4 linked regions of the Coturnix japonica genome follow. Each later gene encodes a partner of the first gene's protein in a complex. Links are inferred from orthologs where the notes say so. Each region holds a gene or a part of one and is shown on either strand. Other genes may lie near its edges. The genes, in order: RAB7A, RILP, PDZD8 and RUBCN.

Region 1 (4,178 bases):
GGATTAGAGAAGAGGGCAGGCAAAAGACTACAGCTGTGCTTTTGCCAGTGGAAATGCTTATGTGGTCATGTAAGAGCAGAAGATTTCTAGTGGACAGAATGCCAGAAGCAGCAGGGTGAATCTGGTTTAGCTTGGAGTACAAAAACAAGATATTGTGTGTTTGCTGCAGCTTAGTTCCTTTTTTTTTTCAATTTTATTTTAGCAAGTTCTGACATTACGATGAGTTTTTTTGAGGAAACTGGCCTGGAAAGCAAAAGAGGGCAAGAGAAAAACATTGCAAAGCTCTTGAGAGGACAGCTTCACACAGGGATGACAGGATGGTCAGCTGGAGCTTTATCTTTCCAGACCTAAGAGGCAACAAAGGGTCCCAGTGCTGTGAGCAGCAATGAGGAAGAGGGAACACAGGACTCTGGTGAGCTGAAATAGTCTGGGCAAGTACTAGAAGAATGAGCAGGTTCCCTCTAAGCTTTTAACATCGCAGATGGTTCAAGGTGGGATGGCTGTATGTCCATGGGAAGTGGGTGAGTGCATTAGAAACTACAAGGAACATCAGCTAAGTCAATGTACAGGTTGGCTCCTGGACCTCTCTGCAATCAGCACACGGTGAATCTTTTTGTGTCCATGCTGTTTCTGCTCACTGTGCCACTGTATGGACTGGCAAGAGGAAGGGAGGATCCCTTCCAGTCCAAGGACCAAAGAGATGATGTTTTATTATCCCTCATTGGATGGCACAGACAAGCAAATAGAGATTAGATGTCACAAAGGGAACAAATCAAAGCTGAAGACGTTCTTACTTCCTGGTTCAGCACATGAAATATGCTGAGGTTCCTGCAGTGGTAAATGTCTGTTTGCTATAATATCTAGCTGCCATCTGTGCCCAATGACAAGCACCCAGACCATAAGGCTCTCTCTGCAGGCAGTGATGCTTCTGAGAGCCAGGATTCCTGTGTTCTTCAATGTCCCACAATGGACCAGAGGTGGCTGCTGCAAGACACAGCTGTGGGACACGCCAAGAAAGCCATTAACTCAATGCAAGGTTATCCTCTGTGTAACTAAATAACGTCAGAGATGGGCGGCAGGATCGCTCTGTGATAGAGAGGGAAGGAGGAAATGTTACCCACGGCCCTTGATTGCTTTTTGTATTGTGTAATAAGGAAGAAAAGTGAAATGTACAATCAAATCATTCCAACTGGAACGACCCCGCTCCCCCCTCCCCACCAGCACAAGATGGCGGCGGGCAGCGAGCGATCACGTGACACTCTCCCCCTCCTTTCCTTCCCTCCCCCTTCTTCCCTTCCCTCCCCCTCCCGTTGGCTGCCGGCGCCGTGATGACGTCATGACACCGGGCGGACCCCGTGACCGGAAGTTGTTGAGGGGGGGGAGGCGGAAGTGAAAGCGGGGAGGTGGTTGGGCCCGATAAAGCCGAGCGAGACGAGCGGGGGAGGCACAGCCAGGATCGGGCGGGCGCTGCGGCCACACGCACCACGGTCAGTACGGGGCTGTGTGGGTGTCTGCCATAGGGTTCGGGGCGGGGGGTGCCGGCTCCGGCCCAGCTGCTGTTACTACAGGGCGGGGGGTGGCCTCTCAGGCCCCTCCCTCCGGCTGGAGGGGCCGCTGGGGCCGGCTGGGTATGGGGGGCGCCGCCTTTGTGCTGGGCCCGGTGCCGCCGTGGCAGCTGCTCGCTCTCAGTGTAATACTGGGCTGTTGTGTCGAGCTGGGGCCGGGATCGGCGCTTCCCCCGGAACAATGGAGCTGAGGGATCCTTAGCAAACGGCTCCTCCGCCCAGAGCCTCGGGCACGGCGCTACCGAGGCCTTCCTTGGGCTGTGAGCTTCTAAAGGCGGGTGTGTGGGTGTCCTCGCTGTCAGAGCCATGCGGTGGTCCATGGAGAAGCAGAGCGCATTGTGTGTGTGGCATGTGGCGTGCTGCGCTATGGGCTCGGAGCTGGGGCTGCCCCCAGTGCTGAGGGTTGGGTGGTCAGATGGTGACTGTGCTTCAGGTGGGATGGAGAGGGCATTGGGTGCTGCTTTAGAGACAAGCGGGCTGCTTAGGGAGCATTTAATGCTGCCAAATGTGAGGCTGGGAGGGCTGGCAGTTATTGCGAAAGGAGCTCTCAGCGTGTGCAAAGCCTGAGTCAGTTCGAAGGAGTGTGGGAATGGATGTTGGAAGTGCTTTTTGTTCGGAGTATAATAAGGTAAATGAAATGATGGATGCATTATTAATGGCTCAGGTATATTGAGGCTAATGAATATAGGAATACTTAATCGTTGTGTTAAAGTGAAATGTGTTTTCTTCCTTGTAAATAGTGGATTTCTTATAGTAGTAAGGCAGCTTAAAAAAATAAGTGCCATAATCTGGAGGAAGAGAGTTAACTGCATCAGAATGAATACATCTTAACCAGTAGCTCTGAGTTCTTTGAGTAAAAGATTGAATTCTCAACACTGTTTTCCTGCAGGCTAAAAATACTTGCTGATAAGCAGAGCTGTTGGGATATGTGTTGGGTTTTTTTATGAGTAAACTGAGAACACATGATAGAACAAAGTCCTCCCAGCTGTAAGCAAGCTGTTCTTTGTTTGATAATTGTGAATTGGAAATGTTAAAGCTTCCAGCACCTGGCTGGCCAGCTCTGAGCTGTGCCTTTTGGTGTGGGCTTGTGCTGGGAAAGTGGGGAGTTACCTGCCAGCTGTGTGTAGTGCTTGGCTGTGATTTCAGGGCTCCCTTGTGGTTGTTCTGTGTGTGATCAGTGGTGGTACTAGTGATGCATGATAGAGGCTGCAGCCTTGCTGTGCTTTCAGATGGGCTGGGCTGCTGAAGTGAATGTACTCTGCACTTAGGAGATAGATTCGAGGTTGTGTTGGGTGGAGCCATTTGAATATTCCTTGTTTAATAATCAGAGCTTCATTGCTGTACTTCTTCAGGAAGAACAAGTATACTTGTCTCTTCCCCCCCCCCCTCCTTGTGACTCTCAACAGCTGACTGAACACATGACTTGCTCTCCATGAACTAATGAACAGGCTCACCATGCCTGAGTCCTTAGAACCCAAAGTAGCTCTAATACTGCCACTTCAAAATGCTGCCCTTTCTTTTGTGCTGTTATGCTAATATTCCTGGTGTAGGAAAACTGTCAGATCTGACCTCTCAATAGGGAAGGCTCTGAAAAATCCACTAGCAGTTTCTTGCTTTCTTAATGTGCAGCATGAGGTATAACTGCTAAGGTCTGAAATTCATTTAATTCAACTTCCTTTTTGTCCGTGGTGTCATGCAGTGGCCAGTGTCCTCAAATACTCTATTAATAGTTCAGCATGGCACACTGAGACTTACACCTTAAAATGGAAAGATGCCAAGGTAAAAGCTTAAATAACTGTTGCAGTGACTGTGTTACAGTCATCCTTTCCTTTCTGCCAAATTCAGTGTATCAGCCGCTACCCAGAGCAGCACAGATGTGTTGTGATGCAGGTGAGTCCTGAATTGTAAATGGAAAGCATACAGACTCTGCTGTTGGATCTCTGCTGTGTGATAATATCTTCCTTTGTTTTCTACCCCAAAACCAACGTCTGTGGGCCAAAAGGTTTAGCAGATTGAATTTCTGAAATGCCTTTTTAAAGCTACTGCTGTTGACTTGGAAGGTCATTTGAATTACCTGTCAGAGCGAATCTCTGGCGAAGCTTGTCCTTGAGGAAACATGACAATTAAGATCAAACCATCTGTGCAAAACTATATATAGATTTGTTTCTAACATGTATGAGTTTTTAGTCTGACTTCTCTGCAAGAACGAGACTAGCTCATGTGGAACTGAACATTTGACTGTAAACTAAACCGCTTGTGCTGGGTGAGGATGTTCTTTCAAATGTTTCATCCAGAGATGGTGCTTGGTACCTGGCCTTAGAATGAAGGCTGTGGAATAAGGCACTGGGATATTTGCATTTTTGGAATGAGCTTATGATTGCCTGGGCTCACAGATGCTTGCAGTCCCTCCTGTTGTAGCATACCAGTTTCTTTAGTAACAGAATTGAACTGTGTTAAGTGAGAGTTTGGTGCTTACCAGTGTTCTCTGCCTCCTGGGCTTCCCCGTGGCTGTGACCTGACCCACTCTGAAGCTCTTATTGCTAGGCCTGCTGGTACTGAGATCCTCTTGGTAGAAGGGGATGTAGATGAAAATGAACTTGGGTGCTGAACTGA
Region 2 (4,177 bases), on another chromosome or scaffold:
AAATGGGGAAGCCTTTAGTCTTTGTGTGCTTTGTACTGTGCTTGAAGCGCTCTTTTAAATACATTTCTCATGGCTTTTAGTATCTTCTCGTTGAGTAAATGCTTTTCATTTTCCATTCTGTAGGAAATGGAACCTCTGGGATGGATTCATACCCAACCAAACGAGTCCCCCCAGCTGTCACCACAGGATGTCACCACCCACGCCAAAGTCATGGCTGACAATCCCTCCTGGGATGGGGAGAAAACCATCATCATCACCTGCAGGTGAGAGGCAGCAGGGGCTTCTGTGCTGCGTCCCCTTCTTTGGATACACATGAAGGTCTCAATCTATAAATCTTGCAGAAAGGAACTGTTTGGTTATTTCTTGTTCTCTGTCTCAAATGATTCTGACCCAAACCATCTCTCTGCTCTCCTTCAGTTTTACCCCAGGTTCCTGCACGCTGACAGCCTACAAACTGACCCCAAGTGGTTACGAGTGGGGCAGGCAGAACACAGACAAAGGGAACAACCCCAAGGGCTACCTGCCATCCCACTATGAGAGGGTGCAGATGCTGCTCTCAGATCGCTTCCTTGGCTTCTTCATGGTTCCAGCACAGGGATCCTGGAACTACAACTTCATGGGTGAGCTGACAGCCCCAGGAGAGGGGTAGGAAGGGAGGCAGCAGGAATAGCTTGAGGAGAAGGAAATGGCTTTTTAAGGGGAGCATTCCTTACATGTCCTGAAGCTTGACTTTCTCTGAGCAGCCGGCAGGGTTATATTAGCATTGTAGATGGACCTTTCCTTGGTGGCTGTTCTGCGATGTTGGTTCTTAACGATTTGAAGCAGCAAGAGAGCAAACATACAGGGTTAAAATCAGACCTGAGACCATCTTCTGGTAGCGTGTGGTATATTGTCACTGAGTAATTCATGTCAGGAAGAAGAGCTGATCATGGAGAGCTGCCTCACATTGTGAACTCTCTTCCAGGTGTTCGCCACGACCCCAACATGAAATACGAGCTGCAGCTCGCCAACCCCAAGGAGTTTTACCACGAGGTCCATCGCCCTTCTCACTTCCTCAACTTCGCCCTGCTGCAGGAGGGGGAGGTTTACTCCGCCGACAGGGAGGACCTCTACGCCTGATCCTGCCCCCCCGGCACTCTTAGTACTGTTGATATTCAACATCCTCTCCCTGCTTTTCGTGTCCACGGCTCCGTCGTCCCCCCCTTGTCCATCCCAGCGTTGCTGTCCCGGTGTTTGTACCGTCGTAGAGTGGCTTAATAAATTTTTTACGAAGCCGAACGCTTCGTCTCCTATGGAGGAGGTTGGTGGGGGCGGTGACTGTCTCCGGACGGGGCTGGATGGGGCGGAGCGTTCACGGAGCCACGTCCGGTGGCGGCGGGGCCGATGGCGGAGCCAACACGGGGCACGGAACCGCTGTGGCGAACCCCTCCGGGCCGCCTGGCCCCGCCGCACATTTACTGCATGGCTGAGGCGTTGGGCGCTGAGCTGCGACGTCTCTCGGGCCGCTTTGGACCCGACGCCGTGGCCGGGTTGGTGCCGCCGGTCGTTCGGTTGTTGGAGCTGCTGGAAGCGTTGGTGGCACCGGTGGGAACCGAGAGTGAGGAACCGCTGACCGAGCAGCGGGATGCGGAGGTGAGCGGGGCAATGGTGGGAGCATTGGGGGGACCGGGAGCTGTCCCCGGTGGTGCTCAGCTTTATCCCTTAGGGGAGGTGCTGACCCCGAAGTGTCTGCATGGCCCTTCCTCCTTTATCATCGTGGGGATGTCCCCTGGGGTTGGCTTTGAGCTGAGTGTCCCTTATTCCTTGGGGTGGCTCAGACCGAGCTGTTGCCAACCCTTAAGCCTGACCCAGCTCTCCCTGTCCCCCAGGACCTGGAGCAGCGGCTGTGGGAGGCAGAGCGCCGGGAGCGAGCCCTGCGTGGCCGCCTGACCCAGCTGGAGGAGCAGAACCAGCAGCTCCTGGGGCAGCTGGCGAAGAGCAGCCAGCACCAGGAAGGTGGGTCTGGTGAGCTCCTGTCCCCATGGCAGTGCTGCCTTCTGCAAGCCACGGGGACTCCCATAGGGTTTGGGGCTGAATATCTTTGGCATGAGTTGAGGTGACAGGAGGGTGGTGGGATGAGCATCCCAAGGATGTCTTTGGGTCCCTGGTGCCGCTCACACCCGTTCCCCCACGCTGGGCACAGACAGCACAGTGAGGAAGGAACGAGAGGTGATGCTGCGGCTGAAGGAGGTGGTGGACAAGCAGAGGGATGAGCTTCGTGCCCAAGCACACGAGATCGTCTGCAAGAGCCGAGACACGGAGGCAGTGAGTGCCTGGGGACTCGCTTTCATGTCACCTCCCCTGGGGCTGATGTGGCTACTCGTGATCCCGCTGGGGCTGATGCTGTTCCCACACGGTGCTGATGTCCTGGGTGGTGGCCAAGCGATGCTGCTGTGCCTCACTCCCGGTTGTCGTGTCCTTTCCAGCTGCAGGAGCAGCTGCACCGCTTCATGTCCATGAACGAGGAGCTGCGGCACAAAGTGGCCGTGGTGCAGGCGCAGCTCAAGAGCGCACTGGAGAAGAAGTCAGACCTGGAGGCTGCTGTGCTGCAAACACAGAAGGAAATGAGCAGGAGGAGCAGGGCTGTCCCCGAGGCACCGCTGCCACAGCCCGGCCAGGTGAGATGGGAGACCTGGGGCTGCCGGGGGATGGCTCTGGGGGCTGCACTCACCTCATCCTTCATGCTCCCATCCCCAGGAAGGAGCAGCACCTCTGTCTGCAGAGGAACCACCAGACAGGAGCCCAGCTCAGTGCTGCTTCTCCATGGAAGAGCTGCAGCAGATCCTGCAGGAGCGGAACGAGCTGAAGACCAACCTGTTCCTGGTGCAGGAGGAGCTGGGCTATTACCAGCGGTGAGCCCTCCAAGAGCCACCTCCCTCCCATCCCTCTAACACCCCATGGTCTACCAACCCTTGGCAGCATTTACTTGCAAAGCTCTCAGCTAACCCGTGTGCTGTCTGTTCCAGGGAGCTGCTGAATGAAGAGAGAATCCCCAGCTTCTTCCTGGATGCCATGAAGTCAACAATCAAAAAGCAGAGAAGAAAAATCAGAGCCAAGATGCTGGGGACAGCAGAGGAGTCAGCAAGTAGGTGAGTGGAGCTGCAGGCAGCAGTGGAGCCTCCTGCACACTGCCCTTGGTGCTTCCATGCACTTATGGCACCTGTGAGGGATCAGCCCTGGGCTCTGGCCTTGTCCCTGCCTCCTGCCAGAGAGCAAAGGTTCAATGCCTGTGCTGGGTGCCCTGGCACAGTGCTGTGGGGCTGGGCTGTTTGCTGATGCTTCCACATGGCTGTCACATGTCACACGCCTGCTCCATGTGTGCTGTTCTTCCTTGTATAAATATGACAGTGGGGAGGTGAGGTGGTGGGGCACGTAGTCCATGAGCTGTAGATTTGGCACTGGGGATGTTCCCTGCAAGGTGTCTTTGGGCAGAGTTGGTTGCACATCTGCTCAGCAGCAGGAGGGGAAGCAGAGCTGTATCTCACTGCCTTGCAGAGGCTTTAATAAAGGTCTCAAGAGGGTTGAGCTCTTTTGTGCTGTTCCAACCTCCTGCTGTTTGCATTGGGGTGCAGGAGGGTGGTCTGTGCAGCCTGGAGTGAATCTGTGGCTGGAGCTGATGCCACATTCCAGCCCATAGTGGTCCTGGCTCTGCTGTCGGTGCTGCTTGGAGCCAGCAGGGCAGGTTTGCTCAGCCATATTCCTGGCTGGGACTTAACCAGTCCAGGCTGGTTGGGGTAGGGATGGATCCTCCCCACCTACCCAAACCCTTCATGAGAGCTGTGGGAGAGGCAGAACAAGATTTTCAGGAGAGTAGGGGTTTCCCCCAGTCAGCACAGCTTGTTTTTTCCTTGTGCAGTCCTTGTTTCCTTAGTGTCCTTGTTCATCCAGAAGTCTGAGACACTGCTCCCCTTCTGCCTGCCCCAAGTGGCTGCTGCCCATTTGGGTGCCATCCTGCTGTTCTGCAGGTTTGGCTGTCCCCAACATCACCCCAGGCTGCAGCTTGTGCTGCTGATGGCACCCCTGAGGCTGAACTCAAGCCCTGGCGTCTCTGCAGAGCTGGGGATGTCCCTTTGCAGCCCCACAGGGCAATGGCAGCAGACACAGTTGCCAGGGCTGGGTGCCTGCAGACTGCAGCGTG
Region 3 (4,295 bases), on another chromosome or scaffold:
ACAAATAATTCTCATGTTAAAAACAAAAACAACCATGCACACCAGGTCTAACTTATGCATGTGCAGCATCCTATTTAATAATTCACAGCTGTACAAAGAACAAGCAGGTGAGTATATTCCATACAGCTGTACAAAGCTCTGTGTAACCAGAGTGGAAACCAAATGACTGCACACACCTTTCTATTTATCCAGACCTCTAAAAAATGCAAACAGTAATTTCTAATCTGAAACCAAAGCCATGCATGCCTCGAGGCCCTTTCCAGATGGTAAGAAGACAAACCCTTCCTCCCTTTTATACAACATAAGGTTGTTTTCTCTCTAGAATAGTTTCAATCTGACGTAATGTTACACAACATTTTTGCACGTCCTTTTTGCACTCGTGTTCATAATCTCCGCTGCTAATTCTGATATTGTTGAAAATGCTGAAACCCACCCAATTCTTGCTTCACAACGTGTCTCCAAGATCACACAGCTCTTGATAAAAACACTCCTGGGAAAGGATAAAAGTGATCACTGAGCTCAGTGCTTCAGACTCTTAAGCTGCCATCAGGTGTGTAAAATGTGCCAGTTTTTCTTCTTTGCTTGTTTAACAGAAGAAAAAGCTCAAATGAAATACCTGCTTTTTTTTTTTTTTACCTGGTGTTCCTCCTGACCCCAAAGCTGTTATTGCCTCTCTGAATATATTATTCCTTTCCTGAAAAGCCATTTAGTTGCAAATCCAAACACTTTCTTACTGCATATGCCCATATTAGCCATGGTAAAGGCTTATAACAGAGCAGATCAAATTCTCTACTGATGACCTTGCTGGTATTTCTATAGAAATTGCTCTGTTAAACACCCAGCCATTTCAACTTCCAGTCACAAGACCTTATAAAAAATTCATACGCCGAAAATCTCTAGTTTCAAACCACAGCTCTGCATCATTAAGAGCTTTTCAATCCCATAGACATTATGAAAGGGGGGGGGGGGGGGGGGAGGGCAGTTTTATCTTCCCAGAGCTTCAGTTTCACATTTACTCCTCCTTCTGCCTGCACTTTTAAGTAGCTCTGGATGGAGGGAGGCAAAAATATGTGATCTGAAGAGCACAGGGACAGGTTTATACCCCATCACCGATGGGAGAACTTGAGAACAAGCTGTACTTCGAGGTTTAGCCCCAAACTTCAATCAGAAACAGGAAGCAGCGAAGGGGCTTTGAAGGAATCCCGGCAGCTCCGTGTATCCCGAGGGGATTTCAGGATCTCCAGAGGGGTTTCACCCACAACCCACCAACCAACCACCCCTTAATGACAGCCCCATAACAACCCCATAACAACCCGTGTACCCCAACCCCATCCCCTCCGCTCCCACCCCCGCGCATGCTCACGCCGCACAGTGACGCCATACCTACGGGGCCTCCCTCTCTCCACCAATAGCGTTGCTCGGAGGCCGAGCTGGCCCCGCCCCCTCCGCCCTGCCGCCGCCGCCGCCGCCGCCGGGCCGGGCCGCCGCGGGGTGGACCCGGATGAGGCGGCGGCCGGCAGCCGGTAACCTCGGGCCGTTAAACGCGAGGCCGTGAGGGGAGGGAGGCGAGCTGGGGGCGAGGATGCTGCCGCTGTACACCATCTTGCTCTCGGCTCTGGCCGGCTGTTTCCTCACGCTGCTATTACAGCTGCTGCTCCTTTATAGGAAAACCCCGGAGCCTCCCGGTGGGACCGGAGCTGACGACGGCCTCGTCTATGCTCGTGTCGCGGTTGGCCGCAGTCTGAAGGACTATCTGCATGGCACCGAGCCCGCGGGCAGCCAGGCCGCACCGGAGCCGGCCCCGGCCTTGGCCTCGGCCCCTGCCCCCTCAGCGGGCCCGGAGCCCGGCACCAAGCAGACCCAGCAGCCGGAGCCCGGCCCGGAGCCTTCATCCAGCGAGGAGACGTGCCATTTCCTCAACGCCATCTTCCTCTTCCTCTTCAGGGAGCTCCGGGATACGGCCCTGGTGAGGAACTGGGTGATCAAAAAGATCAAAGTGGAGTTCGAGGAGCTGCTGCAGACCAAGATGACGGGGAAGGTGTTGGAAGGGTTGAGCCTCCGGGAGGTGTATCTGGGCAACGTCCTGCCCGTCTTTAAGGCTGTCCGGCTCATCCGGCCCGTGGTGTTCAGTGAGGAGGGCTGCCCCGATGAGCTGAGCTTCGAGGTGGACCTGGAATACAATGGCGGTTTCCACCTGGCCATCGATGCAGACCTGGTCTTTGGCAAGTCAGCCTACCTCTTTGTCAAGCTGTCCCAGGTGATGGGCAAATTGAAGCTGGTCTTCACGCGCCTGCCCTTCACGCACTGGTACTTCTCCTTCATGGATGACCCCGTTGTTGTCTTCGAAGTCAAGTCGCAGTTTGAAGGGAGGCCCATGCCTCAGCTCACTTCCATCATTGTCAATCAATTCAAGAAGGTTATCAAGCGCAAACACACCCTGCCCAATTACAAAATCAGGTAAGAGATGGCCTGTGCCCACAACGTTACTTGGGGAGGAGAGTGTTGGAGTTGATGTTATGTTCTTTATGGAGATTTTGGAAAGGGTCCAGAGGAGTCCAGAGGAGGGCCACAAAGATGATCAGGGGGCTGGAGCACCTCCCCTATGAGGACAGGCTGAGGGAGTTGGGTTTGTTCAGCCTGGAGAAGAGAAGGTTGCGGGGTGACCTCATTGCAGCCTTTCAGTACCTGAAGGGAACTTACTGCCAGGAGGGGAGTAAACTCTTGGAAAGGGCTGATAATAGCAGGACACGGGGAAATGGTTTTAAGTTGAAGGAGGGAAGATTTAGGTTGGATGTTAGGGGAAAGTTCTTTACTAGAAGGGTGGTTAGGTCCTGGAACAGGCTGCCCAGTGAGGTTGTGGATGCCCCGTCCTTGGAGGTGTTCAAGGCCAGGTTGGACGGGGCCCTGGGCAACCTGATCTAGTAAAGGTGTATGTTTGGTGGCCCTGCTAGGCAGGGGGGTTGGAACTACATGATCCTTGAGGTCCCTTCCAACCCGGGTAATTCTGTGATTCTGTGATTCTGTGATTCTTAGTAGTGTCACACCTACTGTAAAGTGAGATTTCTGTCAGTGTTTCTGCATCTGGGGTGCTTGTGCACTGCTTATTGATAACACTTTCTGTGAAGTTAGGCATGGATTTGCAACAGGTGGAAGAAACCATTGCACAGAGACTGCAACAAACCCCAAAAACATGCAGAACTAAGTGCTGGAGATATTATGTGCCAGGTTCTGTCAGGTGTCCAACAACCAGATTATGATCACCTTTGGGAAAGGCAGAACGCTGGCTCTGTGGGACAGCACATGGCCTGGGGGTGGCCTTCTGCTGCTGGTCAACCACCTTGGCCAGAGCTGTGGATGATGCTTGTCCAGAGAGAGACAAGGGTTTTGTTGCTTAATGTGAGACAGGAATAAGCCCTCACTCTAGGGAATATTTCTGGAATCACATGATAAGCAGCGCCTTCCTCCTTCCGGTTTGCTTTATTTCTTCAGCAACTTTGTTGAAGTGTAGAAGCTGACAGGGGTTGTGTTGCTACTGTTGCGGTAAAGCTTTGGGGAACTTCTTGTTTGGATGTTTGTTTGGTTTGGTTTTTGCTTTTTAAGCTGAAATGTTTGAAAAGGCAGATGTTGCAGCACGTGCAATGCTAAGTTCAGGGATGTTTCTGTAGTAAAGTGGCAGGCAGCATCGATTTGATTCCACCTTGAGTTCTGATTTGAAAGATAAATACTGCCTTGCCTCTGTCCAGGTATACAATCTTCCCCTTATCTCAAGTATCTTAATGCTCTTAGGATAGGATGTTTCCTTTCTCTCTGGTTCATTTCTTGTAGCTCTTGTTACTTTTTAAGGAAGGATTTTTGTTGACTGCATTCTTCTCCAATAAGCCTTTTCTCTGAGATTCCTCAGGCGTGACTAACTGAAAATGCCTGTTTGAAGTGTAATTAGCAGTGTCATAATATTAAAGGCTTTTCAGCTGGTTCTTCTGCCATCTAATTTAGAAGGGTTCTCATGTAAAATATCCAAGACTTAGAAAGTCCTCAGGGGGCAGTAGGTGGTTTCTTAAAGTAACGCAGTGGTCCTTTGAGACTTCAGGGTACTGAATTGTTGTTTGGAAGGTCCTGGGCAGCAGTGAGGTTATCAAGAGCAAGGTCACTGCCATCCTTTTGCTGTTTTGGAAAGAGACTGAAGCTGCTTGATGTGGAAAAGAGCCCAAAGGAGGGGCTTGGGGGAGCCCAGTCTCAGTGACAGTGAGCATTCTCAGCATACCTAGAAGTAACAAGTAGAGTAAATAATCTTTATG
Region 4 (3,557 bases), on another chromosome or scaffold:
TCCTGCTCAGAGAGGTAACTGATGAGGGACTGTCCTTCTGAGGGTCTTCTGAACATCCCTTCCCCCGAGCTCAGGTACTGGCCAGAGTCTAGAAAAGCAAGACAGGAACATTATGAAGGAAGGACCAGGAAATTCACTGCTCCAAGACCATGTTCTGTGTCAACACACTGGCTAGTTCACACAGCCAACAGCTGCCTATCCCACTCTACAGACAGAACTGGATCCAGTTTCATCCACTCTAATGGAGAACAGCAACCAACACCATGCCATTATGATGACAGCAGGCATCCTGAAATCATCCAGCCCTCCTGAACATCCCACCCTAAGCAGGAAGGAGCAGGAGATCACTTGACTGTTCCAGCTGCTACCAGATGCTCTCCTGCTTCTCTATGGCAGCAGTAATTCTGGAACAATGACTAGGGCCAGCTCTACCCTGGAGCACAAGGAGACCCTGACCTCAGGCAGCCCTAGGGCATCACCACTGCACATCACTAATAATCATCATCCCCACACATCCTGGGCAGAGCTGCTAAGACAGCAACCACAAAAGTACTCCTGGCAGGCCCTCATAGCCTTCAGGTAGCCAATGTTTGTTATTCAGGATAAAAAAAAGAGAAGGCATATGCCAAATAACAAAACAATATGAATAACAGACATGCTTTAGCATACTGTAGGTAGCACAGTGGATACACACCCATGCCAAAAGGAAAAACTTTTAATGAGTTGTTCAGCGTTGATGTTGCTGGACCCACAGAGGCTCCTGCAGAGCCCACATCTAAGCACTGCAGTGCGTCCTCATTCACCTAGAAGGCCAGACAGACCTTCAGGGTGCTATCCCCAAGCTAACAAGCCTTTCCAGTTCCCAACCAAGTCACTACAAGCCAGTTCTTGTATGCCTGCATCCCACAAGCAGGTGCTAGAAGCTGAGGCCGCTACAGTTCATGCCCAGGAGCAAGCATCCCCACTGATGCTCACTGTACTCACCATACTCCATGTAGAGGGAGCTGGGTGTGCTCAGTTCACTGCTTTGGGTGGAACCAGAGACCATTCCTCTACTTCCAACTGTGTCAGCATGGGACTCTGCAAGGGAAGACAACACCAGGCACATGTCAGCAAACCAGAAGTACCCAGCCCAGAGCATGGTGTGAAATGGAAGAAGCTTATCATCACGTGGGTGGGCACAAATGGATGGGAATCAACAAGGGAAATCCTCCACTTGGATCACCTGCTCTGTACCATGCTTGAAGTCAAGCCCAAGAGGGAAGACAACCAGAGGGACATTTCAGGTGGCAGGGGATGAAAGGGAAAGAGGAGAAGGCCATGACAACCACAGATCAGTCAAGTCCTGAGCATTCCTCTCTTTATGCCCCGCAAACCTGGGTAATGCAATAGTTCCTGCAAGCACCTCTAACAGCTCCATCTTCTTCCTGGAGCAGCTCCAAGGAAGAGTCACCCCACAGGGTTGGAACATGAGACAAGGGGACATCTGAGCAGCCAAAGGATCTGTGGGGCTTGAAGCCTGGACAAGGGTGGAAGGAGGTATCTGAAGGACACACTCTTGCTCAGCTGGGAAAACCCAGAGCCAGGATCACAGTGCTCAAGGTCACCTCCCCATGCGTGTGCTCCAGGGCTGCGTACTGCCAGGCAGAGCTGGTGGGGACCGCCAGGAGCCGGCCTCATCAGGGACAAACAACCACCAGTGTTGTGCAGACAGCAAGGCCCCAGAGAGCAGCTGACTTGTGTGGGAAGGCCCAAAAACACCCTGGAGCTGGAAAGCAGCACCCTGCAGCCTTTGCTGGAGCTGGAGACAAAGCAAGTCATGGGGATGGGCACATCTGTCCATGCTCCTGCCAACTCAAGGAGGAGCCTTCCCAGCCATGGACTGCTCAGCACCCCGTGCCATCAGCATCAAACTAGGCCCTACTGCAGATCTGCCCCATGAAAAATATCACATTGAAGCCCATGCTTTCATGGCAACCAGCCCTTGGCCAGCAGGGGCAACCTCTTCTGGTTCCCAGAGTAATAGGAGTGGAGGAGAGGGCAGGGGAAGAAGCTCAGGGACTTGCTGGTCAGCACTTTGTAATGCCATGCAGGAGAGCTCAGTGCCAGCCTTGGGTCTGGCCCACTGCTGCCAAAACCAAGCTGGGATCTTCAGTCAGGCCACATGCATAAACCTGAGGCACCTTTCAAAGCACCTGAGACTCAGGAAAAAAATGTTTTTGATTGTTTTCTGAATGGATACTAATGGTTTGATGGAAATTCTGAACTTAATGCAGTGATCACTAATGAAAGGCGGTTTTGCTGGCTCCCAAACCTGCCACTGGATCTTCTATTATAATGGTGATATCCCTGAGGCCTCCTGGACAGACAGAGGAGGAAGAGGGCAGCGTTAAGGGAGAGAAAACAGAGACAGACTGGTTACTGTGCAGCAAGAACTTTTGTTTCTCCCATCAAGGCAGCACCAGTGAGACTGAATCCCACAAAACAGTTGCCCCTTCACTCCTGAAGCTTCCCACAATGCATTCACATACTCAGGAGCACAGGAGAGCCCAGCAGGTTACCAGTACCATGACAAGAAGCTTCCAAGTCTGCCATGGCTTTATGTCCCAAGTGGACAGGACCAGAGGAAAAGCAGGACAGCTAATTCTGCAGCATCCCTGCTGCTTGCTAAGCCTCCAGTGAAGGATACAACAGAGCTGCTAGTACAAAAACCAGACTGGCCCAGGGCATTCTGATATCAGCCCCTCATTCCAGCGTGGAGCAGGAAAATGGAGGGTAACAATCAAACCTCCAAAATGCTTTCTTACTGCTCTCCTTGTTCATCTGACCCACGGAGTTGAAGGGACAGCCAACATCCCAATACTGCTGACTCCCACCTGGCCATGGTCCCACCGTTGTGCCCGCACCCCACAACCTCCCTATGCACTGAGCAAAGTAACCCCATTACCATGCAATTTCCCCGAAGCCACATTGGTGTCCGAGTGTGAGCGCACATGGCTCTTCTTGAGGATGCCCTGTGGCACTGATGACTGTCCCTCTGAGAAGCTGGATCGGCGCAACAGGCCCAGGCCCCTGCTGCCACATCCGTTCATCCCCTGGTCCCCTGAGTCCAGCTTCTGGGAGCTGCTGGTGGAGAACATGTTGGAGCTGCTGCTTTTACTGCTGCTGGTGCTGGCACTGCTGCAGGCCCGGCCACGGCGCCCCAAGTTCCCTATGGCCAGATACTCCGGTCCATCGTTAGCATCGCTTTGTGGATCATCCTGACTCCCTGTCCAAGTGTCCTCACTCTGGCTGGTGGTGCTGGAACTCATCTCGTTGGCTGGAGAGAAGGGGTCTTTGGGTGAGGGAATGTGTGAAGGAGGGACAGCACTGGGCTGCTCCAGAGGGGACCTGCCCTCACTAAAGGAGGAGGATCGGGAAGCCAGGCAGTGTTCCTGGGGTTGGCTGGAGCTGGAGCTGATGGAGGAGCTTGCTGATCTCCTGTCTGGACAGAGAGAAGAAAAGGATGTCACACATCCTCTATGTGACCACCCAAGTCAGCAAGGAGCCCAGCCTGA

Evidence for each region.
Region 2: the proteins of RAB7A (region 1) and RILP are in contact, whole or in part, in a crystal structure (PDB 1YHN), measured with the Homo sapiens proteins. The link is inferred for Coturnix japonica from reciprocal best matches to the Homo sapiens genes RAB7A and RILP. Residues at the interface, in NP_004628.4 of Homo sapiens: Ser3, Lys6, Leu8, Ile41, Gly42, Ala43, Asp44, Phe45, Leu46, Thr47, Thr58, Trp62, Ser72, Leu73, Val75, Leu182, Tyr183, Asn184, Glu185; in NP_113618.2 of Homo sapiens: Phe248, Glu249, Leu252, Gln253, Arg255, Asn256, Lys259, Ala260, Phe263, Leu264, Glu267, Glu268, Tyr271, Arg274, Glu275.
Region 3: the proteins of RAB7A (region 1) and PDZD8 are in contact, whole or in part, in a crystal structure (PDB 7F6J), measured with the Homo sapiens proteins. The link is inferred for Coturnix japonica from reciprocal best matches to the Homo sapiens genes RAB7A and PDZD8. Residues at the interface, in NP_004628.4 of Homo sapiens: Lys10, Leu14, Asp16, Ser17, Lys38, Ile41, Gly42, Ala43, Asp44, Phe45, Gln60, Trp62, Gly66, Glu68, Arg69, Phe70, Gln71, Ser72, Leu73, Gly74, Val75, Ala76, Phe77, Tyr78, Arg79, Thr98, Ser101, Trp102, Glu105, Phe106; in NP_776152.1 of Homo sapiens: Ile999, Lys1000, Leu1001, Val1002, Arg1003, Lys1004, Glu1005, Gly1007, Leu1008, Asp1009, Asp1010, Phe1013, Ile1014, Lys1017, Gln1044, Leu1051, Asn1054, Asn1055, Val1058, Leu1077, Leu1084, Gln1085, Thr1088, Ile1092.
Region 4: the proteins of RAB7A (region 1) and RUBCN are in contact, whole or in part, in a crystal structure (PDB 6WCW), measured with the Homo sapiens proteins. The link is inferred for Coturnix japonica from reciprocal best matches to the Homo sapiens genes RAB7A and RUBCN. Residues at the interface, in NP_004628.4 of Homo sapiens: Ile41, Gly42, Ala43, Asp44, Trp62, Gln71, Ser72, Leu73, Gly74, Val75, Ala76, Phe77, Arg79, Ser101, Asp104, Glu105, Ile108, Gln109, Ser111; in NP_055502.1 of Homo sapiens: His818, Asn821, Met822, Lys824, Thr825, Arg827, Leu883, Gln885, Ala886, Lys887, Gly888, Phe889, Ile890, Glu892, Gln895, Glu897, Ile900, Pro903, Cys915, Lys916, Arg931, Arg934, Arg938.

What each region holds. Positions count from the first base shown.
Region 1 is NC_029527.1:6,808,777-6,812,954, reverse strand, and holds the start of RAB7A (ras-related protein Rab-7a), read left to right. Parts: upstream 1-1,355; 5' UTR 1,356-1,487; intron 1,488-4,178.
Region 2 is NC_029534.1:4,138,753-4,142,929, reverse strand, and holds the start of RILP (rab-interacting lysosomal protein), read left to right. Parts: upstream 1-1,360; 5' UTR 1,361-1,383; coding exon 1,384-1,632; intron 1,633-1,868; coding exon 1,869-1,995; intron 1,996-2,182; coding exon 2,183-2,304; intron 2,305-2,465; coding exon 2,466-2,657; intron 2,658-2,736; coding exon 2,737-2,891; intron 2,892-3,005; coding exon 3,006-3,128; intron 3,129-4,177. Other genes in the region: PRPF8 (pre-mRNA-processing-splicing factor 8), read left to right, coding at 124-263, 418-620, 965-1,119. UniProt on the Homo sapiens protein: Rab effector playing a role in late endocytic transport to degradative compartments. Involved in the regulation of lysosomal morphology and distribution.
Region 3 is NC_029521.1:26,018,140-26,022,434, reverse strand, and holds the start of PDZD8 (PDZ domain-containing protein 8), read left to right. Parts: upstream 1-1,441; 5' UTR 1,442-1,582; coding exon 1,583-2,457; intron 2,458-4,295. UniProt on the Homo sapiens protein: Molecular tethering protein that connects endoplasmic reticulum and mitochondria membranes. PDZD8-dependent endoplasmic reticulum-mitochondria membrane tethering is essential for endoplasmic reticulum-mitochondria Ca(2+) transfer.
Region 4 is NC_029524.1:13,094,681-13,098,237, forward strand, and holds part of RUBCN (run domain Beclin-1-interacting and cysteine-rich domain-containing protein), read right to left. Parts: intron 3,485-3,557; coding exon 2,948-3,484; intron 2,360-2,947; coding exon 2,315-2,359; intron 1,081-2,314; coding exon 985-1,080; intron 89-984; coding exon 1-88.